3 linked regions of the Canis lupus familiaris genome follow. Each later gene encodes a partner of the first gene's protein in a complex. Links are inferred from orthologs where the notes say so. Each region holds a gene or a part of one and is shown on either strand. Other genes may lie near its edges.

Region 1 (4,188 bases):
GGGCTCACAAGTTGAACTGGACATATGCCTTCTGCTCAGATCATGATCCTGGGGTCCTGAGATCAAGTTCTGTATCAGGCTCCTGAGTCCATCAGGCTCCTCAGAGAGAGCCTGCTTCTCTCTCTGCCTATCTCTCTGCCTCTCTCTCTGTGTCTCTCATGAATAAATAAAATCTTTTTTAAAAATTAATTAATTAAATAAAACAGCTCTTTGAAAAGTGTCACCTCTTTTGGGCCCTAACATTCCCCCTTATAAATCCACCCTGTACTAAGAATCAAGATTGAGAGTCTTGCATTTCAAAGTCCTCACAACCTCAAAAGATACACACCACAGGCAAATCTCCATCATCATCTTCTTCCTCTTTTTCTGGTTTAGTGGTAGAGATAGATGTCCAGCTCACATCATCATCCACAATCCGCATTCTAAATATGAAAAATAAAAAGATCAAAAAGGGAAGAATCATTCTTGGGTGACAGCCCACAAACAGTTATCTATGGATTTAGTATAAGCTACAAGACTCTGCAAGGTCCAGTCTTTGCCTATACGGCCAACTTCACCTGTACCACTGCCTCCACAGTTCCCTACCTTGCTAATCATCTTTTGGTGCCTGGAATGAGCCAATACCTTACCACATCAGTTTTCACATATTCAGTTCCTTCCTTCGGCCTGGCCTACTCTTCTTTCTTTAATGGGAAACTCTTAAGAGTCCTAGGATACATTTAACTTCCTTGAGCTTCTCCCCTTACTTCCCATGACTAAGAACCTCTGTTATGCATCCTTGGAATACTTTCATTGCATTAATCACAAAGAAAATAAATCAGTTAGTTGTGTAATTAGCTGTTTAAAGCCAGGATCCCTGTTAAACTATAAGGCCCACTAGAATAGGGACTATGCCTTCTCATTCACTGTGATATCCTGAACACCCTGAAGTAACTGGCATAAGAAGTAGGTGTTCAATACATGTTTGTTACACAGATAAACTATGCATGAGTCCAAGTAATTAACAATGACTACCATGATGTGAACAATTCTATCTGAACAGCCAGTTATCACTTTATACCTCTCTAATCACAACCATAGAGCGATAGTATTACTCTCCTTTTAAAGAGGCAGTAACCGGGACACCTGGGTGGCTTAGTGGTTGAGTGTCTCCCTTCCGCCCAGGCCATGATTCTGGAGTGCTGGGATCGAGTCCCACATCAGGCTCCCTGCATGGAGCCTGCTTCTCTCTGCTTCTTTCTCTACCTCTCTGTGTCTCTCATGAATAAATAAATAAAATCTTAAAAAAAAAAAAAAAATAGGGACGCCTGGGTGGCTCAGCGGTTGAGCATCTGCCTTCAGCTTAGGGCCTGATTCCAGGGTCCAGGGATCAAGTCCCACGTCAGGCTCCCTGCATGGAGCCTGCTTCTCCCTCTGCCTGGGTTTCTGCCTCTCTCTGTGTCTCTTGTGAATAAATAAATAAATAATCAATCTTTTAAAAAATAAAGAAAGGAAGCTGCGGTAACAGTCTTGGAGAGACAGTATGTTGCCCAAGGCCGTAGAGCCCACAACGTGGCACAGCCAGGACTCAAACTCTGACTGGTATTACTCCAGAGGTCAAGCAAGCTATTTTCTCTACATGGCACTGTCTGTGTCCAAACAATCGACACAAGTCGGAAGGCAGGAAGACAGAGGGCAAGAACAGGCAAGAAGCAACCCACGAAAGGAAGTGGATTTGGGGGATCCCTGGGTGGCGCAGCGGTTTGGCGCCCGCCTTTGGCCCAGGGCGCGATCCTGGAGACCTGGGATCGAATCCCACGTTGGGCTCCCGGTGTATGGAGCCTGCTTCTCCCTCTGCCTGTGTCTCTGCCTCTCTCTCTCTCTCTCTCTCTGTGTGTGACTATCATAAATAAATAAAAATTAAAAAAAAAAAAAAAAAAAGGAAGTGGATTTGGTCTCTGGAGCTGGGCGTATTGGTTCCCCAGGGCTGCCTGACAAAGTGCCGCCAACCAGGCGGCTTAAGGCAACAGAACTGTACTCTCTCAGGGTCCTGGGGGCTTGAAGTCTGAAATCAAGGTGTCTGCAAGGCAGTGCCCACTGGGAAGGCTGGGGGCGGGGGGATTCCTTGGCTGTTCCAACTGCTGGCAGCGGCAGGCGTACTCGCATACTCTGGCTACTAGTGGCAGCGTAAACCCAGCCCAAGGCCGGCCTCCATCTTCACACGGCGGGCTTTCCCCATCTCTGCGTCCAAATCCCCCCCTTCCTAAGGGGTCCCCGGGCACGCTGGATTTGGCGCCCGTCCTGATGTGCTGTGACCGCATCTTGATTAGCTACACCCGCGGCGGCACTACTTCCGAAGGAAGTCACGTCCTGGGGTCCTGCGCGGACCCGCCGGGAGAGCGGCACGGCGGCCCCGCTCCGCCGCGGAATCCTGGAGCCTCGGTCGGCGCCCGCCCGCGCAGGACTCGGCCCCAGGTGCGCGCGGCGCCCGACTCCGCCGAGCCCCCGGCCGTGCCATCACAGGCTCCGGGCGACCCCGCCGTTCCTCTCGGCGCGACACTCACTCTCCACGGGAGAGGCCGGAAAGCCACCGGGGCGGGAACAGCCTGAGAAAGTTACCGGCGGCCGGAGGCGGCGAGCGCACGGCCGCGGGGCGCGCCGGCCGAGCGCGGAGCCGGGGAGCAGAGGGGCGGCCGGCCGCCGCAGGCCCCGCCCCGCCCCGCCAGCACCCACTCACCCCCTGCCGCCGGCCCCGCCAGGCTTCGGCCGCTTTTTGCGACGCTTGCGACCGGAGTCCGGGCCCCCGTCGACGCCGGCACCTGCCCCAGACAAGTAACGCTTCAGATACTCGGCCTTGGAGAGCGGCGGAGCTGCCGCCATGGCAGCGGCGGGGGCGGGGAGACGGCTCGGCGCTGGGGACAAATTTCCTGAACGCGAAGCGCACGGCGGGGGGCCCCCGGGGGGGCGGGGCCGGGGCCGGAAGTGGTGGAGAGCTGTGGGACCCGCCCCGGGCTGACCCCCGGCTGCGCTTGCTGGCTCTCCGCAGGTGCGCGCGCCTCCGATTGCACCTCCACCTCCCCCTCCCCCTGCCCCTGCCCCTGCCGGCCCGACCGGCAGGGGTTTGTCCACCTGTCTGCCCCTTCAACCTACGATGCAGCTGGCGGGAGGCTAAAACCACGACCCAAACAAGATCTCTGTCCCCAGCAGCTCCAGAAGCACCATAGCGTCGTCAAGACCTCGGGCTCTGGAGGGACGGTGTCCCTAAGCTGGAGTTCGGGCTCCGAAACTTCCAACTGTAGGTCCGGGGGCAACTTAATTAACGAACTGGGGAGTATAATGGCACCTAACTAAATGGCTTCGAGAAATGAGACACTTTTACTGCGTGAGATGCTTAGCACAGTGTCTGAAGCACAGTATGTATGTTGTTTGTATTAGTATGTTAGGTGGAGGTTAGACTGCTCTAAATAGTCTTCCACGAACCATTCAAGAGAGGTCAGGAATTCCAAACGTGATTACCATGAAAAAATATGGAGGTTTCTCTAACCTGTGACCTTCCCCACTTTTGATAGAATACGTAGCCCCCAACTATCTGTTGCCTGCAATCTTTCCTGTGAAAAGGACCTGGCTCTATTTTCAGCCAGATAGAGAAGCTGAATTCTAATTATCAAGTTGGGAGGGGCCGGGGGGAGGGGACATACTCCTTTTCTTCTTGTGAACATTATTTTACATAAATTACCTCATTTAACAAATCTCTCAAGTGGTTTTATTATGCTTGTTTCACAGATGAGAAAAACCAAAGCTTGGAGAGGTTAAGGAAGTTGTCCAACTTTATACAGCCAAAATGTGACCCTTGGGAGCAGAAGCTAGCCAAGTGAGGTACAAGAGGTAAATCCAAAGTTTGTGAAAATGTTAGATCAAGTATTTCCCTTATCTCAACATGTTAAATTTTTGTCACTGTTTGAAAGCCTATTAGTCAAGAAGGCTTGCTTGTTATACTTTATAAATGCTCTGCTCAGAATCCAGGATACATGCTCAAAAAAAAAATTATATATAATATAGGTGTGGAAGTCCCAGCCCTGATGGATGAACTTTTAACCACAGTGTTGTCCTGACTGGTCCAGCTGAGGCCCAGGAAGGAAAGCAGACTGGGTCTCTGAGGGCTTGTGGGGATACCAGATTGATAGAGGGCTTCACTGGCTGGAGGTCCCC
Region 2 (4,281 bases), on another chromosome or scaffold:
GATCAAGATCCAGATGTAGCCCCATTTCTCTCATTTCACAGTTGCCTGAAGAATCCAGCCAGATAATGTTGCATGCTAGTTTACCACTTTGCAGTGGCTACTTCAACCCTACATCTAAGCAACCTCAGATTCCCAGGAGCAGATAAAACCTGTATGCAATCTGTCACTGTTTAGTTTTCATTGCCAAGATAATTCCATAAAGTTAATGAATAGCTGAGCTGGATGGGGTGGGGGCACAAACACAGAATGAATGAAGGGAAACTTTGATTGGTGGAGAGTCTCCTGCTTTTGTCAGGATGTGGGTACATGATGGGTCATTGAGGGTACAGTTGTCATAATCCCATCATCAAAGTACTTTTATGAAATGCTTAATTTCTGGGGCTCTAAGCTGGGCCTACACAGAGAACTACCCAGCTCTGGAACTTCACTTTTAGACCAGGCATGGTCTGATACCAGTTATTGACATGGACACATATGAGATGGATTCAAAACTTCAATATGGCTTATATCACACTGAAGGTATGCCACCATACCTTCTATGGGTTCCTCATTATTTCTGGAGTGAAATCTACCAAGCAAATATATTTTGTCTCCTTAATGATATCATTAGCTCCAGAGGGCAGAGGACTTCACCTTACATTCCTGTCTACAGATTTTACTGTACAAGACAAATATAGATCCTCAGTAAGGACTGAGTAAGTCAACAAGACCTGATAGGTAGAGGCAGAGGACATCCTTTGAGTTAACTAATTCCTTCGAATCTCAGTTTCTTCCTCGGTACAAGGAAGGTAATTGTATGTATAGACTCCATGGGGTTAGTTATGAGGAGGGAGGGCCAGTACAAGTGAATTGCTTAGCACACAACGTAGCATATGCTTAACTATTAGCTTTCTCATTATTTATTTCTGCCTCCTGCTTAAGTAGGAGCGAGACTATGGGAAAAGGGTGAGCTCTTAGACAAATCTGGGTATTCGATCAGACTGGTTAGTTGCCTATGCATTTGGATTTAAGGGAGAAAAAAATGATTTCCCCTCTCACATACCTTCTTCACTTTTCTGCTGCAATTTCTGATCAGGGATGGTTTGAGGGGTGTGTGTGCGTGAGCGACTGGCTGGGAGTGGAAGCCCGAAAGGGGATTTTCACTGAGGATAGAGCCAGGGACTACAGTTGCTAGAGCAGCACCTTTTTCAATCTCAATTCAGTAAACATTTATAGCTAGCCCAATCAATGCCAGGCGTCCTCCAGCAGCTGAGGGTCCTGTAATAAACCCGCTTCACACCCATGCCGCGTTTCACAGACGGACTAAGCGAGAAGCTAGATAGAGTCCCTGATAGAGCGAAACACGCAGAGCGAGCCAAGGGCCTCTCCGCGCTACTACGCAAGCGCAGCTCCCCAGCGCGCCCGTCTTTCCGGCGTGGCGCAGCGCGAACTCCGCGGAGTCCAATGGGCGCACGGCATCGGCGCTGCGCACGCGCGACACAGACTCACCCGGAAGTTAACGTCTCCGTGCTGAGCGCGAACCTGAGGAGATGAAGTAAGGCCTCAGTTTACCTCTTAAGAAGTAGGGACCGGCCGCGGGAAGTTGCCCACCGGGGCTGGGGTGGTAGAGAGCCTGCGGGGCCGAGGGGTGGGAGAGGCGCGGAGACTGGAGAACTAGCCCTCTAGTTCTGCTCTCCCTTACCTCTGGCCAGGCCGCACTTAACGGCCGCTTTTCCGCCTCTCTCTGCAGCCCTTTAACTAAAGTGAAGCTGATCAACGAGCTGAATGAGCGTGAGGTCCAGCTTGGGGTGGCAGATAAGGTGTCCTGGCACTCTGAGTACAAGGACAGCGCCTGGATCTTCCTGGGTGAGAGTCACATCTTTCTGCACTGCTCATTCTCTCCTGGTGCGCTTCCTAACCTTTCAGCATTCCCGCCTTTCCTTCCTTCTGACGTTCATCACGCACTTAGATTTCTTTCTTCTGGCTGCCCCGTAAATCCGTTTTCTGTATCTCTTTTCTCTTCCATTTCTAGTTTGCTCCTCCTGCCAAGTCAGTGACCATAATAGTTACCTTTGCCGTTCACTGTGGTCCTTGCCACTTGGTTTCAGAGACTGTTATCATACCGCGCCCCCCTGTTACATAGCTGAGGAGGTTAATGGACTTCCTTAAAGTCACATGGGTAATAAGTGGAACAACCAGAACTATGGGATTCTAGAACTGATGATCTTAACCACCATCTTGTATTACTGCTAGCGCCCCCCCCCCCGCCCTTTCTCCTTCCCTCAGAATTCATTTTCCTCATTTACTTAACTTCTGCCTTCTGTCCGTGGCCATATTGTCATCTCTGTATTCACTTGTGTCGCATCCAATAATATGAAAGTTTGGGCAAAGAAGTTATTGCACCAGATATTGTGCTAAGCACTTTATGTCCATTGTTTTATTTAATTCTTACAACAGTTCTGTGAAATAAGTACTAATATCCCCATTTTACAGATGAGGAACGAAAGATTTGCAGGGGAATTTATTTCCTATGAAATGCTGAACAGTTGTCTATAGACAACCAAAGATTCCTTAGTCTATGTGAGGTGGGGTAATATTTTCATATTTAAACTGATTTTGCTGTAATCTTAGCTGTGAGTTTGTGAGTTCCGGGCACCTGGGTGGATCAGTGGTTGAGCGTCTGCCTTTGGCTCAGGTTGTGATTTTGGAGTCCTGGTATTGAGTCCTGCATCAGGCTCCCATTTCTCCCTCAGCCTATGTCTCTGCCTCGCTTTCTGTGTCTCTCATGAATAAATAAATAAAATCTTAAAAAAAAGAGCAGGTGAGTTCAAGATATGTTTGTGGAAACAGAGTTTTATGCTGCAAACTGTCTGCTTTGCAAGGTTTTGGGTGTGGGGAGTATTTGGTTAGTGATGACACTGACCTTTCCACAAAGTTAATCACTCCTTTTGCTGCACTAGTGCCGCACCTTATATATGATTCTGTTAAATCGTCAGACTGTGAGTTCTTTGAGGGCAGGCCCTGTGGCTTACTCTTCTTTGCACCCACATTGCTGGGCCTAGTGCATGGTATGGAGGAGATGCTTGGTAAATGTTTGTGGAACTGAAATGTGGTTTTCTCTCCTAGGAGGGCTTCCTTATGAACTGACTGAAGGGGACATTATCTGTGTGTTCTCACAGTAAGTCCTTTTTCATTTCCTGCCTTCTGGGTCATCAAATTATGCTTGCTTAATACATTTTGTGGCCTCACAAAGTCTATTTGTTTTATTCTAGTCTGACTGGGCTCCCTGCATGGGGAGGGCTGGAGCTTCTGCTCTAGTCTAGATCAGCCCCAGGACATGGTTATAGAGCTCCCAATATGGAAAATCCAAGAAGTTAGATGATTTAGGAGGCTGTCTTGGGGATTCTGGTCTATTTTTATTGCTTTTTAAGTGAGGCTTGTTCAGCCTGTGCCTACACCAGAATAGACTTACTCACAGGAAACTACCATGTTGGACTCCTTGGGCTCCTGCAAACCCAAGGGTAATCCATGATCACAGGGCCCTTCTGGCCTACACCTGTGTGGTGTTGTGGGATTAGGGCAAAGCACAGAGGAATGGGAGAAAAAGCAAAAAGTTTAGGCAGTTTTCTTGTTTCTAGATGGGTATAAGATTAGTAAGCAGAACCGGTCTCTTTACCCAGAAGCTGAGAATTATGGGCTGATGAGGAACAAGGATGAATAGGTGAACCTTATATTCTTCATTCTGCCCATAGATGAAAGCAGCAGCATTGGGTGGGAGAGCATCTTGCACTGGTGGTGGCGGCTGGTGGGAGAGGGGCTGGGCACAACCCAGAGCTACACAGAGTGGTTAGACAGTCCATGGGGCCTTAGGGACCCTGAGGGCAGAGGACTGTGGCAGAAGGATTTGGGGAAGTAAACACTGCCAGCACACTGTGGCGGAGACATTGCCATGTCAGGGGATGGTGGGGCCGTCCAATAGGAAGAGGACCGTGGCTGAGTGGTGGAGCAGCTTATGGAGGAGAGGGCCATGGAAAAGAAATTGGGCAGTACCCATGAGAGGGCCATGAGAGAGGGCTTCGGCAGCCCACTCTGGCTTAGCGCCCAAGAGAGACAGAGGCTGCTTTCTCTGACTTCTGGGCAGCTGGAAGTTTACAGCAGGTGCAGCCTGTAGTTTCCACCCCTTATGATACCTCTGTCTGGTCCAGCCTTCATAGGGGCTGTTTTTGTCTTATTTGCGTTGAGTGATGATCAGCTAGTGTGTTTGCTTATTCTAATTCTCTATTCTGGCTGTACACCTTGCTC
Region 3 (2,542 bases), on another chromosome or scaffold:
AATTTACCAACATACAGAATAACCCCCAGTGCCCGTCACCCATTCACTCCCACCCCCCTGCCCTCCTCCCCTTCTACCACCCCTAGTTCGTTTCCCAGAGTTAGCAGTCTTTATGTTCTGTCTCCCTTTCTGATATTTCCCACACATTTCTTCTCCCTTCCCTTATATTCCCTTTCACTATTATTTATATTCCCCACATGAATGAGAACATATAATGTTTGTCCTTCTCCGACTAACTTACTTCACTCAGCCATAAAAAATATTTAAAAGCACTACTTGTAGTTATCCCTAGTCATCATCTCAATGTTATTGGGACTCAGATCACCATCTTATAGTTCAATATCCCAATCTTCTTCTTTTTTTAAAAAAGATTCCAATAAATAAATAAATAAATTAATTAATTAATTAAAAAAAAGATTCCATTCATTTATTCATGAGAGACACAGGAAGAGAGAGGCAGAGACACAGGCTGAGGGAGAAGCAGGCTCCATGCAGGGAGCCTGATGAGGGACTCGATCCCAGGTCTCCAGGATCACACCCTGGGCCGAAGGCAGGTGCTAAACTGCTGAGCCACCCAGGGATCCCCAATATCCCTATTTTCTTAGATGTTCCCTTGAGGAAGGGGATCTGCATGTCTTAGAGGTGCTGGACTAGTGCCCTGTGAGTTTCTTGGAACTCTGAAAGTCTATAATCTCTACCAACTCCTCAGTTACTGCCTTTCATGATATGTTTAACTAATCAGGAAAGGGACAAGGAGCATAGACTGCAGGAGCCAGACAGACTAGTGTATTAATTTTCTGTAGCTGGGTAACAAATAACCATACACTTAGTGGCTTGAACACATACTCATTATCTCACGGTTTCTGTGGGCAGGCATTTAGGGATGGCCAAGCTTGGTGCTATGCTACAGGGCCACACAAGATTGTAATGAAGGTGTCAGCCAGGACAGAGTTCTCATCTGCAGGAGCCAATTCTACATAGGGACTATAATAACTTGGATGTGTAGATTTATGTATTTCATCAAATTTGGAAAGATCTGCTCACTATGTTTTCAAATATTCTTTCTGCCCCTTTCTCTTTCTTCTCTTATTCTGCAGCTCCAATCAGGTGTATGTAGGTACACAGGAAGGCATCCCATACATTTTTGTTTGTTTCTTAAGTTTCTCAAAGAGTGATCCTTAAGCCAGAAGCATTGACACCACCTCAGAAGTTGTTAGAAATATAAATTCTGGGGCACCTGGGTGGCTCAGTCAGTTGAGCATCTGATTCTTGGTTTTGGTTCAGGTCATGTTCTTGCAATCATGAAATTAAGTAAGCCCTGTGTTGGGGCTCCATGCTCAGTGGGGAGTCTGCTTTAGATTCTTTCTCCCTCTCCCTCCCACTCATGTGTTCTCTCTCTCTCAAATAAATAAATAAACAAATAAACAAATAAATAAATAAATCCTAAAAAAAAAAAAGAAATGTAAATTCTTAGGCCTTGTTGCAGATGTATTAAAGAAACTCTGGGGTCCGCTTCCACCATGGCGTACCGTGGCCAGGGCCAGAAAGTGCAGAAGGTGATGGTTCAGCCCATCAACCTCATCTTCAGATACTTGCAAAATAGATCTCGGATTCAGGTGTGGCTTTATGAGCAAATAAACATGCGGATAGAGGGCTGTATCATTGGTTTTGATGAGTACATGAGCCTTGTATTAGACGATGCCAAAGAGATTCATTCTAAAACAAAGTCAAGAAAACAACTGGGTCGGATCATGCTAAAAGGAGATAATATTACCCTGCTCCAAAGTGTCTCCAACTAGAATGAATGATCAGTGAAGTGAGAAATTCTTGAGAAGGCCACGTAGTTTGTTTTTTTAGATGTCCTTTGTTGGGAATATAGTTCTAAAACCCTTGTTCATATTGTTTTGATTACCTTTATGTTCTTACCAGAGGACAATAAATGCTGTGGGATTGTTTTTATTAAAAAAAAAAAAAAAAGAAAAAAAAAGAAACTCTGGGGATGAGGCCCAACAATCTGTGTGTGTGTGTGTGTGTGTGTGTGTGTACGTGCATGCGTGCATGTGTGTGTGTTTTAATTGAAGTTGATACACAATGTTATAGTAGTTTTAGGTGTACAACATAGTATTTGACAAGTCTACATATTATGCTATACTTACCGAAAGTGTAACTACCATCTGCCACCACACAACCCAATTACAATATCATTGATTGTATTCCCTACCCTGTACTTTTCATTCCCTTGACTTATTCATTCCATAACAAGAAGTCTGTACTTCTTACTCCCTTTTACCCATTTTGCCCATCCCCCTAAACCCCCTTTGACAACCACCAGTTTGTTCTCTGTATCTATGAGTCTGTTTCTGTTTTGTTTGTTCCTTCATTTTGTTTTTTTAGTTCCACACATAAGTGAAATCATATAGTATTTGTCTTTTTCTGTCTGAGTTGTTTCGTTCAGCATAATACCCTCTAGGGCCATCCACGTTATTGCAAATGGCAAGATCTCATTCTTTTTTATGGATAATAGTCCATTGTGCTGATGCAT

What was found. Proteins that work in one complex are often made in the same cells at the same time.
Region 2: BUD13 (region 1) and RBMX2 share a complex: the UniProt entries of both Homo sapiens proteins name them as parts of the activated spliceosome. The link is inferred for Canis lupus familiaris from reciprocal best matches to the Homo sapiens genes BUD13 and RBMX2.
Region 3: BUD13 (region 1) and small nuclear ribonucleoprotein E-like share a complex: the UniProt entries of both Homo sapiens proteins name them as parts of the minor spliceosome. The link is inferred for Canis lupus familiaris from reciprocal best matches to the Homo sapiens genes BUD13 and SNRPE.

The regions. Positions count from the first base shown.
Region 1 is NC_049226.1:16,817,260-16,821,447, reverse strand, and holds the start of BUD13 (BUD13 homolog), read right to left. Parts: upstream 2,903-4,188; 5' UTR 2,860-2,902; coding exon 2,717-2,859; intron 423-2,716; coding exon 329-422; intron 1-328. UniProt on the Homo sapiens protein: Involved in pre-mRNA splicing as component of the activated spliceosome. As a component of the minor spliceosome, involved in the splicing of U12-type introns in pre-mRNAs.
Region 2 is NC_049260.1:102,430,538-102,434,818, forward strand, and holds the start of RBMX2 (RNA-binding motif protein, X-linked 2), read left to right. Parts: upstream 1-1,400; 5' UTR 1,401-1,529; coding exon 1,530-1,534; intron 1,535-1,729; coding exon 1,730-1,845; intron 1,846-3,105; coding exon 3,106-3,157; intron 3,158-4,281. UniProt on the Homo sapiens protein: Involved in pre-mRNA splicing as component of the activated spliceosome. As a component of the minor spliceosome, involved in the splicing of U12-type introns in pre-mRNAs.
Region 3 is NC_049222.1:93,812,944-93,815,485, forward strand, and holds small nuclear ribonucleoprotein E-like, read left to right. Parts: upstream 1-1,501; 5' UTR 1,502-1,520; coding exon 1,521-1,799; 3' UTR 1,800-1,961; downstream 1,962-2,542. UniProt on the Homo sapiens protein: Plays a role in pre-mRNA splicing as a core component of the spliceosomal U1, U2, U4 and U5 small nuclear ribonucleoproteins (snRNPs), the building blocks of the spliceosome.